Linked DNA regions of Coturnix japonica. The protein of the gene in region 1 purifies or fractionates together with the protein of each later gene. This does not show direct contact. Links are inferred from orthologs where the notes say so. Each region holds a gene or a part of one and is shown on either strand. Other genes may lie near its edges.

The links. The genes of interacting proteins can lie anywhere in the genome.
Region 2: the proteins of SNRPA1 (region 1) and SF3A2 purify together in Homo sapiens (affinity purification with mass spectrometry; 8 studies listed by BioGRID and IntAct, counting the BioPlex papers as one, with this or other methods). This does not show direct contact. The link is inferred for Coturnix japonica from reciprocal best matches to the Homo sapiens genes SNRPA1 and SF3A2.
Region 3: the proteins of SNRPA1 (region 1) and PHF5A purify together in Homo sapiens (affinity purification with mass spectrometry; 4 studies listed by BioGRID and IntAct, with this or other methods). This does not show direct contact. The link is inferred for Coturnix japonica from reciprocal best matches to the Homo sapiens genes SNRPA1 and PHF5A.

Annotation. Positions count from the first base shown.
Region 1 is NC_029525.1:15,973,512-15,978,246, forward strand, and holds the start of SNRPA1 (U2 small nuclear ribonucleoprotein A'), read right to left. Parts: upstream 3,000-4,735; 5' UTR 2,901-2,999; coding exon 2,819-2,900; intron 2,596-2,818; coding exon 2,448-2,595; intron 1,729-2,447; coding exon 1,650-1,728; intron 1,503-1,649; coding exon 1,456-1,502; intron 1,358-1,455; coding exon 1,255-1,357; intron 747-1,254; coding exon 667-746; intron 1-666. UniProt on the Homo sapiens protein: Involved in pre-mRNA splicing as component of the spliceosome. Associated with sn-RNP U2, where it contributes to the binding of stem loop IV of U2 snRNA.
Region 2 is NC_029543.1:1,224,446-1,228,972, reverse strand, and holds the start of SF3A2 (splicing factor 3A subunit 2), read left to right. Parts: upstream 1-1,558; 5' UTR 1,559-1,615; intron 1,616-2,437; 5' UTR 2,438-2,488; coding exon 2,489-2,614; intron 2,615-3,019; coding exon 3,020-3,091; intron 3,092-3,410; coding exon 3,411-3,457; intron 3,458-4,060; coding exon 4,061-4,170; intron 4,171-4,527. UniProt on the Homo sapiens protein: Component of the 17S U2 SnRNP complex of the spliceosome, a large ribonucleoprotein complex that removes introns from transcribed pre-mRNAs.
Region 3 is NC_029516.1:45,262,767-45,267,499, forward strand, and holds the start of PHF5A (PHD finger-like domain-containing protein 5A), read left to right. Parts: upstream 1-1,764; 5' UTR 1,765-1,921; coding exon 1,922-1,973; intron 1,974-2,089; exon of another isoform or gene 2,090-2,184; coding exon of another isoform or gene 2,185-2,236; intron 2,237-2,331; coding exon 2,332-2,355; intron 2,356-3,391; coding exon 3,392-3,558; intron 3,559-4,733. Other genes in the region: ACO2 (aconitate hydratase, mitochondrial), read right to left, coding at 1,562-1,597.

The DNA.
Region 1 (4,735 bases):
TGGCACCTTAGAATTAAGCGGCTGATGAAAGCTGTTGGATTTGGATGTTGTTGAACCATCACACAAAGCAGAGTGAATGGAATTGGATTTCAGTATCTCACAGGATACTGGGACAGCCTATGTAAAATGAATGGTGGAAGTTCCTTGTGAGTTACCTGCTGCTGCTTAAAGGACAGCAGACGTTTGTTGTCTATGGAAATGGAAGTCACAGCTTGAAAGAGCTGCCTAAATGTGACCCAGCTTCACAGACCTGCGCCCTGTCCTGCGTGTATTTGGGATGTGAACTGGGTGTTTGATTCATTGATTCACTTGTTCAAAAGCCATCACAGACATGGGCCATTTCCACTCATTAACCACAGCGAGAGCACATTTGATAACAGTTCTAAGCACTCACTGAGCACCCTCAATGTGATCAATAGATTTTTCAGTTCCCAGTCACTATAGAGAGCAAAACCAAGCAAACCACAGCCCCCTCTCTGCAGTAAAATAACACAGAGTTCCCTGTTTACTGCTATATCCCGATCCACCCTGACCAAACGGGTCTACCATAAAGATCTCAGATGTGTTCACCACCATCCAAACAACCAGGGCCGTCTCAGTTCGGTGCCGCACACAACGTGGTGTTTCTGAAGGAGAACGCCAGTGCAAGCGTTTGTTTTATCTTACGTTTTTGATCTCCTGGCAATATCCTTTGCAAGCTGTGCACCCCGTTTGCCCTTGAACATTTTCTCTGCCTCCTGTCGCTCCTACAGCGATACCACACATACAAAGTTAATGGAAGGATGTAGCATTTCGCAGAGCTGCTCTTTGCAAAGAAAGATGCTTTGGCTCATCTTCAGTGAACATCAGCATGAGGAGCCCAGGACAAGCACAAACACATTGCACAAACACTCCAACTCGAGGTGTAGCACTTCAGTGCTCTTAGAAGCAACAGCCCCAAGCAGAGGGCTCTGCTCTGATCCCTCATTCCTTTCTCTACGTTCCCCTTATCACCACCAACACCGGCCAGCCAGAAAAGAATCAGACTAAACAAACAACAGCAGTGAAACATCAATTAAAAACAATAAAGCAGATTACATCCTTAACGGCGTGAAACCATCAAAGAGAAGCACCAGCTTTAAAGCCTCATAGGACAAACTGTTCCACTGCCATTTACAGCTGGGGCAAAAAGCTTTACTGATTTCACTACAGTTCTATGAGTTAATAGGAGAAAAGGTCTCCATCTGGTGTTCAATCCGAAGGTAACAGACTTACTTTGAGTTTCACTTTCTGAAAATCCAGCACTCTGACTTGGGGAACTTTGTAGATAACATATAATCTGTAATGCTTCTTATTTGTTACTGGGTTCCTTAAAATGCTACGAGGCAAATAAAGGTCACAAAGAGTTACTTCATGTATTGAATATATTGAAATATATCACAACAAGCCGCTGCTTTTCTTTTCAAGATTACCCACCTCAGGTAAGTCAATGTTTTAATACTTGATAATGGATCCAGTTCACCCTATATAATGGAAGAACAGAGTAAGAATCTTAAATCCATTTCACGACAATCAAATATTTCAGAATGAAGCTCCTGAAGAAGACGACTAATTAGAAAGAGGACAAAAACATTAGAGCTGTCAAGATTTATTCTGCATCACTAACTTACCAGTTCAGAAATGTTGTTGTTGGTAAGAACCAGCTCTGTGAGACTGGGCAGAGCTTGTTCAAGTCCTTCCCCAATCCGACTACAGAAGAATAAAAACACAAAGATTTTACCTTTGGCTGGAAATTAACAATGGTGGACACAGACACAGATATATTAAAAATCACGGAATCATTAAGGCTGGAGAGATCTCAGAGATCATTCAGCCCATCCCCACCATGCCCAATAAACCTGTCTGTGGCCAACACAGCTGAAAGCATTTTGGGCCACCTCTGTCCCCTCTCCATGGCTCTGGAACACCTACAGAGACAGCAACTCCAACCACCTCCCTGGGCAGCCATGCCAACATAGAGCACCTCACTTAAACACAGCCAAGTATGACAGCAGCAGAAGTTTGGGTGAGCATCAGCTTTGTAACAAAGCCAACATAAAACAGCAGCTGCCACTGTAAGGGCACCAGGTGCAGCAAGGTAGCTCTGTTCACTCAGCTGCAGGCACCCCTGTCTGTGCATCACTATGGGGGTAGTGAACAACCCCCAAGGACCCAACACAAACTCCAGGCCCTGCATCTCATTGTCCTGTATGAAAATGGAACACAGAGCTGGGGCAGAACTTTGCAATGAACAAAGCCGGCTAATTGAAGGCTGAAGCAAATACCAAGCGCTATTTCTTCCCCATAAAGCAGATATTTTTACACCTATCAGGTATTAAAAGACACGGGCACGCTTCTTTTCCCTTCTTCACTCTGCTCTGCCCCAGGTCCCGTCTGATCACAACACTGATCACAACACAACCACGTACCAAATCCTGTTGTTATTCATCAGAAGAGTTTTCAACCTTCTCAACAGAGGGAACCCATCCAATTTCCGAATCTCATTATCCGAGAAATCAATCGCATCGAACTGATCCAACGTAGCCCCTAAATTCTCAATGACGGGGATTTTATACCCTGTGGGGGGGAAAAGAAACGTGAGAAGGGAATAAAGCAGGATGGGATGGAGCTCTGGGGACACATGAAAGAGGCATTTAACACACAGAACGACCCCCCCCATTGCACGGCCCGTTCCCAGTGCAGGCCCCACGCCTCCCCTCAGCGCAGGCCCCACACAGGCCCGCTCCCGATCCCCCCCCACAAAGCCAGGCCCGGCTCCCTCCCGGCAGATCCATCTCACCCCGCAGGTCGAGCTCTCGGTCTCGCACGGCGTTGGTGTATTGAGCCGCCTGCTCGATCAGCTCCGCCGTCAGCTTCACCATCCCGCCCGGACACACAGGCCGCACCGAGCCCACAACGCGCCGCACGGCCGAGCGAGGCCGAACACAGCCGAGTACAGCCGAGAACAGCCGAGTACAGCCGAGAACAGCCGAACACAGCCGAATACAGCCGAGTACAACCGAACACAGCCGAACATAGCCGAACACAGCCGAACACAGCCGAACACAGCCGAGCACAGCCGAACACAGCCGAACACAGCCGAGCATAGCCGAGAGGAAGAGGGCCGTCCTCTTGCAGCCCCTCCTCCACAAAATGGCGGCCGGGAGGGGCTGTATAGAGGTGGCTTTTCTGAGCTGTCGAGCTGGAAGGAAAGCGCATAGAAATCAGAATCATGGAATCACAGCGTGGTTGGGTTAGAAGGGACAGCGCTGGGTGTTGTAGAGGGGAGCATCCATCGCTTGTCTTGGCAACCCGTGCCAGTGCATCATTGTAAATAAGAGCCAATTTAAATAAATAAAAAATAAATAAATAAAAGTTGTCCTTGTGCCCAATTCTGGTGTGGTCGCAGTTGAAGCGCTGCAGCACTTCGGTCAGCAGAGGGAACTGCTTCCCTGTGCACAGCCCAACACAGCTGGAGGCGTCTCAGAGCCACCTGAATGCGGACCTTCCTCCTATAGCACAACACACTGTATTGCTCAGCTCTAGGGGTTGTAATGGGGTTGTAACAGAGCAGTTCTTGGTTTCAGATGCTGTACACGAGCTCTGGAAAGCTCCTTTGTACTGGAAAGTCCAAGTGGTGGTTTTTAAGATTGCTGTGGATGCAGCCTCACAGCCAAACTGCGAGCGGGGCTTCAGGCTGCACTAAGATCCAGCTGTTAGAGTTGAGTTGTTGGTGCCAAGAGACAATGAAGAAATGTGCTTTAATAAATTGTATTCGTTTATCTGGTAGAGGCACACTTTGATCCTCTGTGCATACCAGCGGCTGAGAGGCTTTAATAGCTCCAAGCAATAGCTTAGATAAATAATCTGAATGTTATTGCTTTCCAGGAATGATTTCTGAGGGAGTCGGAGCCCTGGGAAACACTGGGAGCTGATGTCGTTGTATGAACTCGACACGGAGGATTTGTTTCTCTTTCCCTGTGGGCTGGAAGGCAGCAGAAAGCACAGACTGCTGGGGATTGGTCATCTTCAATTGCACTACCTCAGCCAGGCTGTGCTTTCATAGTTTGTGCCAAGGATAAGGGTAAATTCAGCATTTCAGTGCATCTAAATATACCACGGCAGAGCTGAGTGCCAGAGCTGACACGGTGCTCCCGGCTGGGACTGGGACATGACAACAGCAATGGAAGTTTGTTATTTGATGAGCAAAGTGGCAGAAGCCAGAAGCATTTCGCCCCATTTCTGACCTCTGGTTTGGCCCGAGAACAACAGGGGGATCCCAGAGCAGCAGAAGGAATCAGTGTGTGATAAATCATCTGGCTCAGTCCCACTGATCCTCTGATACTTGTGAAAAGCTGTGAGATGCACGAGCCCACAGCAGCACAGCTCTGAGGAAACATCCTCTTTCAGACTCTGTGATCATTGTGGATCCCTTCCAACTCGGGGTGTTCTATAAGCCCCTCACGGGAGGGCTCAGTTTTTCCCTTTTTAAAGCTCAGAACCAGATACCCAAGCACTACCCTGGGCAGTTAATCGCTGCAAAACAAACACAACAGCAGGCTCCAGAGCTCCCTCTGCTCCCAGCCAAGGAGGGCTGGGTGTGAGCTGCAGTGTGGGCAGCAGGGCTGTGGGATGCTCAGAGTATGGATGGGAAAAGGGCAGCGAGCCCCCAACCAACACAGCCGAGTGCTCCCTAAGACCCAGCCAGAGGGTTCTT
Region 2 (4,527 bases), on another chromosome or scaffold:
GTTAAATATTCATTATAAAGGTTATTCTGTGCTGATTCAGGATCTTTAGAACAGGAGGATCTTTAGCAGCCTCGGTTTTATGTGAGGTCTGTAACTACACGAGACAGAGTCCAGCTTTTGCTGCTGTAGGGCGATGGTTGTGTTTGTAGAAAGCAGCAGGGTGTGGTTTGCTGGCACTGCTTCTCCTCACCCCCACCGAGGAGCCTGAACTGTGCAGGGGGAAGGGAGGACGCCGTGTTGCACTGATCCACAGAGCACACGTGATAAACGTGAAGCAAAAAGGTGCGTGTGTGTATCTGTGTGTGTGTGAGGAGCAGCAGGATCCGAACCTCAGCTTCATCCGTCCTGAAGTAGAAGAGAAAGTTCACCACGAGCTTCACGAGGCGCTTCTTTAACACTGAAGAAGGAAAGGAGTGATGTGACAGCGAGCCCAGCGTGTGTGGGGCCCCCAAACCATCCCAGCACTCCCAGCATCTCCATTTCCATCCCAGTGCTTCCACCCCAGGACTTCCATTGTCATCCCAGCGCTCCTATCCCAGTACACCGTTCTGATCCCTGTGCTTCCATCCCAATACTCCCATCCCAGCACCTCCAGCTCCATCCTAATACCCCAATCCCAGCACCCCCAGCTCTGACCCAGTACTCCCATCCCAATACCCCCAATTCCATCCCATTACCACCATCCCAACACCCCCAGCTCTATCCCAACACCCCCATCCCAATACCCCCAGTTCCATCCCATTACCCCCATCCCAATACTCCTGTCCCCACCCCAACACCCCCAGCATTATCCCAATACCCCCATCCCATTACCCCCATCCCAATAACCCCAGTTCCATCCCATTACCCCCATCCCATCATCCTATCACCCCAACACCCCCATCCCCATCCCACCCCCAGCTCATATCCAATACCCCCATCCCAATACCCCATCCCAAACAAAACCCCAGCTCTGCCCCAGCACCCCCATTCCAACAGCCCCATCCTAATACCCCCAGTTCCATCCCAATACCCCCATCCCAACACCCCCAGGCTCTATGCCAATACCCCATCCAATACCCCAGTTCCATTCCCAATACCCCCATCCCAATTACCCCAATTCCATCCCTTACCACCATCCCAACACCTCCAGCTCTATCCAACAACCCCCATCCCAACACCCCAGCTCTTGCCCCAGCACCCCCAATTCCAACAGCCCCATCCCAATACCCCCAGTTTCCATCCCATTACCCCACCCCATCCCACCCCCACCCCATTACCCCCATCCCACACCTCAATCCATCACTCCCCATTCCCACCCCCAATTAACCCCCCCATCTTCCACCCTCACCCCCTTCCCACCCCCCCCTCTACCGCTGCCCCTTCTTGGGGACCCTCATCATGGATCTCTGCCGCTTTCTCTGCCGGTTGCCTGGACAGGACAGCAAGCTCCCGTTCGTTGTACCTCATGTCGGACCCCAAACGACCACCCCAACCCTACAAACCACCCCTAACCCTACAACCACCCCAACCCTACAACCACCCATACCCGACCCGGTAGTGCTCTATCCGGAACTAGAGGGGATGGAAGGGGGAGGGCAGAGCGCATGCGCCGGGAGCGGGGCTGAGCACGGCGGTATGGGGGATTTAGGGGGAGGGGATGTGGGGCTTAAAGGGGGGATATGGGGGAGTGAGACCCTCATTGAGGGGATGGGGTGGTCTGGAGGGGGGTCTTGGGCCCTGTGGGGGATTGTTTCGGGGCAGTGACCGTCGCTAAGGGAATAAGGGCCTGTGGGGCCTATAGAGCCTGTGGGGCCTATGGAGCTTATGGAACCTGTGGGGCCTGTGAGGCCTATGGAACCTGTGGGGGCTGTGGAGGCTGTGGGGCCTATGGGGCATGTGCAGCCTATGGGGCCTATAGAGGCTGTGGCATATGGGCCTATTTGGAGCCTGTGGGGCCTATGGAGCCTGTGGGGCCTATGGAGCCTGTGGGGCCTATGGAACCTATGGAGCCTGTGGGGCCTATGGAACCTATGGAGCCTGTGGGGCCTATGGAACCTATGGAGCCTGTGACCTGCACTGGAGAATGAGGGGGGTGAGGGGGCTTAGAGGGGTTCTTAGTGGAGGGACAGGACCCTCCAAAAGGAAACTGGGGGGCTATAAGTGGCATGGAGAGTTCGGGGGGTGTTTGTAGGGGGCTTTGAGGTGAGCTTTGGTGCTCGCTGAGGGAATGGGGGTGTTTAGAGGGGGGTGAGGGGGTGTCTGGGGGGTTGTGACCCCCATGTTAGTGGCTGGGGGGTGTGTGACCCTGTGTGAGAGGGTAGAGGTGGGCTGGGGGTGGTTTTGTCTCTTGCTGAGGTAATGGCAGTGCCTGGGCCGTGTCCTCGTGGCAGGGCTCAATGCGAGGCCCAGCTTAGGGCTGTGTTGTCACTTATGTGTCTTTTCTTCATTTTTCCAGACTTTTATTTTATTTTTCTCCTGAAGTCTCCAAAGCCCAGAAATCCCCACCATGGATTTTCAGCACCGTCCTGGAGGTAAAACGGGGAGTGGAGGCGTAGCTTCAGCCTCAGAAAGCAACCGAGACCGCAGGGAGAGGCTTCGGCAACTGGCTTTGGAGACCATTGACATCAACAAGGTGAGCCCCAGTCCTGCAGGCTACATGGGGTGAGGTCAGGGCTTCATCTCAGCAGAGAGTGAGAGGTTTAGTGGGGATCTGTGGAGTGGAATAAATACTTCTGTTCCCACTGATGAGGGACTCGAGCAACATGTGGAAGGGCCAAGCAGAGGGATACCAGCACTGGGCTTCTGTTATGTTCAGTCTTGGCACTGGTTCTTATTATGCTGCAGTTGGGTGTGCTGTTACCAGTGAACACAACTGCTCTTGTTCCTTTTTCTCTATATTCCTAAAGCAGTGTTGTGCTGATCCCTTCACTCCATGAGCTCATAGAGTTCTTACAGTGCAGCTCTGCTTTAGAATCTCGGTTGTTCAGTTGTTCCAATGCAGATTTTACATGTAACTTTTCAATCCTTCTCTTCCTAGGACCCCTATTTTATGAAAAATCACTTGGGTTCTTATGAATGCAAGCTTTGCCTGACGCTCCATAACAATGAGGTGAGTTGAGCAGCTGTCTGTCTTGATCTCCATGGCAGCAGATATTTTAGACTAATTCTAGCTCCAAGTGCTGGAACCGAAGCTGTTCCCGTTGGCTGATTGCTGGAGGGCCAATGGGGGGAGCAGAGGCTGTGTGTGTTAAGCATGACAAGTTTCTGACAGTTCAGCAGTTGTGAGCAATCTGAAATTTGTGAGTTTGATTCTGCTGTGCTCTGAGGATTAAAATATCTTTGTCAGTGTGAAATGTCACCTCTCATCTGTGACAAATATCTTTCTGTTCAGGAACAGTTCAGTCTTCATAACTTTCTTTTCCCCCCAGGGAAGTTACCTGGCACATACGCAGGGGAAGAAGCATCAGACCAATCTGTAAGTCATTCTCCACCGTGTTATTCTCCATTACTTGGGCACATTAAAATTAGATAATGAGCACCTATAAATCTTGGCCTCCATCATGTAGTAGCACTCTGGGCTTGAATGCTCTTTGTCTCTGTTTGTTTCCTAGGCATTCACCAGCTCTGCTCTGAACAGTGGTGCTGACAAGCTCCACTTCAAAGCCAGCTATGGCATTTAGATTAAGTATAACTGTAAGGGAAGCTGTTTTATGAATACAGCTTGAGAAAAGTTTGTAAGCTTTAATCTAAGAATTCAGGTTTGCTCTGCTTTAGATACCTGGCTTGTGTAATTCATTTCCTTTTTGACTTTTAAGAAGTCATCTCAGCTCCATCTGTGGAGCTGGACATCAAAGTCCTCTTAGGAGTGGGTGAGGTGATGGAGGTGACAGATTGTAGTCAAGGCAAGGAGTGGAACTGGCCTCCCATGGTGCTTGTGGAGGAGGAGCAGCAGTTTCCCATTATGCTTTCTGTGAAGTGCTGAATGCTCCGTCATACAGAACTCACTCTGCCTTTTAGAGTATCCTTCAGAACCAAGTGCTGATAACCATTTAACACTGCGCGTTTCCAATGAACCCAGGGCTCGTCGAGCTGCCAAGGAAGCAAAGGAAGCTCCTGCCCAACCTGCACCAGAAAAAGTCAAAGTGGAAGTGAAGAAGTTTGTGAAAATTGGACGACCAGGTTACAAAGGTTTGTCAGCAGTGCCTGTCATAGCAGATACCCCGTGGCTGCTGGAGCTTGCTTGAAGTGCAGTGCTGTGGGCATGAATTGTTCATCAGCCTTTTTAGCAGAGCTATCCATAAATAAGATATGGGCTTATCTCCTGATGTCCTTTATTGTTTAAATTACCCATGGGTTGTCTCTTTATTGCTGACAGTCGAGTGAGAGCCATTTTAATAATAGATCAGTACGTCTCAGTCTCTGTCAGTTCTTACTGTAGTCATATGGGAGATGGTGGCATTGCTTCAGTCTCTCTTTCCCTTTTATTGTGCTCTGCCATCTCTATTATGGCAGAGCAATATACTATTGCTCACAAGTCACCCACTG
Region 3 (4,733 bases), on another chromosome or scaffold:
GGCACTACTGCAGCAACTAGCAAGATGAGTCATGTTATCATTACATCTCTAGACTGCTACATATGAGAAAAGCTATTATTTGCTTCCTATAGCAACCAGCCAGAATGATTGGTAACAGTCCCTTAAACTGAAAAAAAAGCCTACTTTGAATCTAATAATATAATACTCCCAAAGGTCTAAACTTCATGCATTTGCTGTGCTGACACATATCCACTTAAGTACACACCCACTTGACCTGACGTGACTGCACATACCATAAAAGGAGAAACAACCCATTATCCTAATAAAATATTTGCTTATGTTTTATCAGTAGTTGTTTCTCTTCAAAGTGCAAAGTAGCAATTATTTAACAGTCAACGATGAATACACTGAGATAACTGCAATGATGCCATGTTGTAAGTTTTACTTTAAAAAACAGTCCTTTTCTAAGACATCTGCACCGAGAGCAACAAAGTAATAACATAAAATGTGAGTAAGAACCATAGAATCACTGAATATCTTGAGTAGAAAGAGATCCATAAAGATCATCAAACCCAACTCCTGGCTCCACGTGGTACCACCCAAAAAGCCGGCCCTATGTGTGAAAGCATTGTCCAAACACTTCTTGAACTCTGGCAAGCTTGGTATTACGCCCACTGCCTTCTTCACAAAGTGCTTTCAAAGCACCTCACTCAACGATCCTTCACGTGTCCCTTCCAAGCTGAGCTATTCTGTGACTCTCTGATAAGGTTATTGCTGCAGCTCCCTGGGTAGAGGGAACACCCTCCCCAAGGTCACAGCTGGCAAATGGAGCAGTCCGAGCTCTCAGCTTCACCATGTGGCACGTACTGAGGGCAGCACAGCAAGCAGCACTACATGAGAAAATGGCATTCTACTGCCTTCTAGGCTTTAAAAAACAATCAAGTGTTTATTAGTGAGTAGATAGTAAACGGGATAATGCCCTTAGTACTGTAGTGCCCGTGATGGGCACAAGCAGACGTGGGTTTTAGAGGTCACAATGGAGAAGACTGGGAGAGTCATTATGAAGGTAGATTCAAGCCATTTGGAAAATAAAATAATAATAATAAAAAGATAATTGATGTGGCCGCCTGGCCTTGCACGGCCCCTTTAACAAACAGATCTAGGAACTCCCATCCACATGAAAGGCCGCAGTCCTGGAGCCGGGCAGCCAAGGGCACAGGCTGCTAACGGCACGAGATGAGGAGGAGCCCGCGGAAGGAGGAAGCACGGCCCCAGGCGCGATATCTCGGCCTACCCGGGCGCGGTCACCTTGCGCTCACCTTGAGGCTCAGCGGTGCCCGGAGGCGGCGGGACCCGCCCGACACCGAGGCCCATCAGGCGGCCGAGCCGCCTCCGCCGGTGCGGCCCCGCCATCGCCATGGAAACGGGCGTCGGGCCGCGCCGGGGACGCGCTGACCTACACGCGCAGACAGCGGAGACCCGGCCCCACGCCTCCGCCCGCCGCCCCGCGCTCCCTCTGCCCTCCGTCCAGGATTGCAGCGGCCCTCACCCCACCGCCCAGCCCGGCCTCGCCCGGCCCCGCCCGTCCCGCGGCGCTCACCCGCAGCCGAGCCGCCAGGACGCAGTACGGCGCCATTTTGTGCACTGACAAAGATGAAGTCGCGCCCCGATGGCGTCAGTCCGCCCTTTTGATACCTCTGGCGCGGGAGGAGGCTGAAGGGGGCGGGGTCCAGCGGGTCCTGGCAGGGAGGTACCGGAGGAGAGAGCGGCGTTCCCATGGCGGGGGTACGGGCGTTCCCCGCGTTGAAGGGAGCAGCGAGGCGGATTGGGTTTGAAGCACCATGCGGAGCTCGGTTACGGGTCGGTGTCCCCTCCCGGAGCGCCGCTTTGTCGGACGCTCTCCACACCCCTGACAGGACCGGGACACGGCGGCAGAGCACCGAGAAGTGTCGCCGGCGCCATGGCCAAGCACCATCCGGATCTCATCTTCTGCCGCAAGCAGGCGGGCGTCGGTGAGTACCGGCGCGGTCGTGGCCCTCCGCACCTTGACGGTGGGCTCGGGCGGCAGTTCGAGCCCGTTAGGTGCCCGTTAGGTGCCCGTCAGGCCCCTCGCGCAGCTCCTCGTTCTTCCCTCGGCCCTCTGAGCTCGGGGTTCGTGGCGCTCCCCGAGGCCGCAGGGATGTGGTTGGGGATCGCGATGCGGCGCTGAGTGCGGGTTTCCTTATGGCCGGTGGGAGCCGTTGGCCGGACACCGTGCGGAGGGACTGTGGGCCGGGTGGGTGTGCCCTGAGGACAGGCGTCGCTTGTATTTGCGTTCTAAATGTAGCCTCAAGTAATATGTGTTTTTTCGCATTCTTTTTCCCCTTACAGCAATTGGAAGGCTTTGTGAGAAATGTAAGTACATCTTCTGCGTGTAGTTGTTTGAGAACCCAACTCTGTGGTAAGTGCCTGCAGCTCGGTTTCTCTTTTTGCTCTGCTGCTGACTTGGGGTCACAACCAAATAGAAATAGCAGGTAACTGCAGCTTGGGCTGGGAGGAGTGACCTGTGTGTTGGCCTGAGTGTATGGAGCAAGTGCGAGAAAAAGACCGCACAGCTTCCCTTCAGCATCTGTTAGAATGGGAAATGGATGGAAAAAAGTGCTACAGCAGATGAATATGCAAAAACAAATATCTATGCAACCTACTGCAAGGAACCTGCTTTGGCCAAAGTGTTGGACTTGATTCCTGGAGATCCCTTCCAACCCCTATAATTCTGTGCTCGTGCTCACCTATAGCAGAAAAGAATAAGCACAATTGGTCATTAGATCCTTGCAGGAGCTCAGTACAAGTAAGCCAGCTATTTCTAGGCTCCAAAAAATGTTAAAAACAAGCGAAGTGAGGAGAAGCACAGTCTGAAGCAACTGAACTGTTTTCAGAAGTACACAGAAGTTAAATGGATTCCCAGTGGTAGTAGCTGAGGGCAGTTGGGACTGAGATTGAAGAGCAGGTTAAATGAGCTGTTTGTGAGAGTCAGGATTAAATACCTTGGGAACTGGTAATAAGATCTGAAGCCTTTCATCTGGAGGTCAGAGTTTTGGATCGGGGCCCGCAGAGCAGAGACTGTCCATGGCATCTGATGGCTGTTTGCCTGTATGATAAGAGCACTTGTATTTCTCTCAGTCCCTTGTGAGAAAGCAAGAGCAACTCTGTGAAGTGGCAATTTATGCCGGTTTGCCCTTTTTTTGGCCTTGGATATGGCTGGCTGTTGGCCCTCGTTCCTCTGAAGTCTGTGTAAATATAAAGTTGCACCTTGTGCCTGTAAGCTAAAGTTCTGCAGTCTAACTGCGTTGTCTTTGAGCATACAGGCAAGTTCTTTGTCCAGCAGACTTTTCCTCTTTTATGTGGGGTGGAGAAAAGGACGTTCTGTAACCAAAGACTGCTGTACTTGCAGGTGATGGCAAATGTGTGATCTGTGACTCGTACGTGCGGCCCTGCACCCTGGTGCGCATATGTGATGAGTGTAACTACGGCTCGTACCAAGGGCGCTGCGTCATCTGCGGGGGCCCAGGGGTGTCTGATGCCTACTACTGCAAGGAGTGCACCATCCAGGAAAAAGATGTACGTTGTCATCCAGTCTCCTGTAGAATTGCTTATGTCTTTGTTTAATAGCTATGCTTATCTTTAAAGGGACTTAGAGCAAGTGATATTAATGTTAGGACATTGGATGCTTGGGTTCCTCTCCCAGAACTGGCACTGGTTTTCATTTCCTTGCATGTTTCTTTTTCTGTCGGTGGTTCCCAGTGTTTGTGGAGCACTTTGAGGTAGCGAGCAGTGCCTCGATTCTGTATCCCATAGGATCCTTGTGTGCTTTACGATGCATACTCACAGTTCACTTCCTCCACGCTCTGCTTGTTACCACTTTCAGCTGTTATCTTACTAAATCTCTCAGCCAAAGTTTTATCAGCAGCAGAGACACTTTAGACGTTGCAAAGGCAGTGGCAGGATCAGCTTCTTACTGTGTCCGTGATCATACCATACATGGTATGATCATGCCACTGGCATATATGGTACCATAAGGCCTACAGAATCACCACCCATGTTTACTTTTGTGTTACAGTAAAATTAGCCCTTAGTGTCCTTCGTCCTTTGACAAGGCAGATGCTCGCTCTCTAGGTATTCAATAATATCCATCATAGTGAGGGCAAGTCATGAAGAACTGCCAATGAAGTAGTAGAAAGACTGTAGGGAAATGCAAGAACGTGATGCTTGCGGTTGCAGTGTGTCAGAGTATGGACCCAATGGAGAGTATCGGCTGTGTGGTTTTGGGGCTGGATCCTTTGCAAACACCATCTCCAGCACACCCTGATGTCAGCAGAGTGTGCTGACAAACAGCTCTGATTTAGAGGAATGTACTTAGCTGACTGAGCTGCTGCTTTAATTTTCTGCAGCACCCATATTTTCTCTAGAGGTCTTGCAGGGCAAGCCCGTGTCTGAATTTAGTCAGTAGATCTGGCGGGAGCACCATCTTTCTTAGTATCTAAGTATTATATGTGGATAGAAATGCTGTTGGTGGTACTGCCTTCTACATCTAGAAGTGCTGTGACAAGCAGTAGTTTTGTTGTCTTGTCTGTGGGACCAAAGAACTTGTTTGGCAGTTTATCAGTTAAATAGACCAATTCATATTGATTCCTAATAGGTATTTTTCGTGCTCTAGTCTCATCTGTAGGTTCAGATGTAGAGCAGCTCGCTGCTCTGGAAGGGAGGGTTATAGAGAATATAGAGCTGGAGGAGCA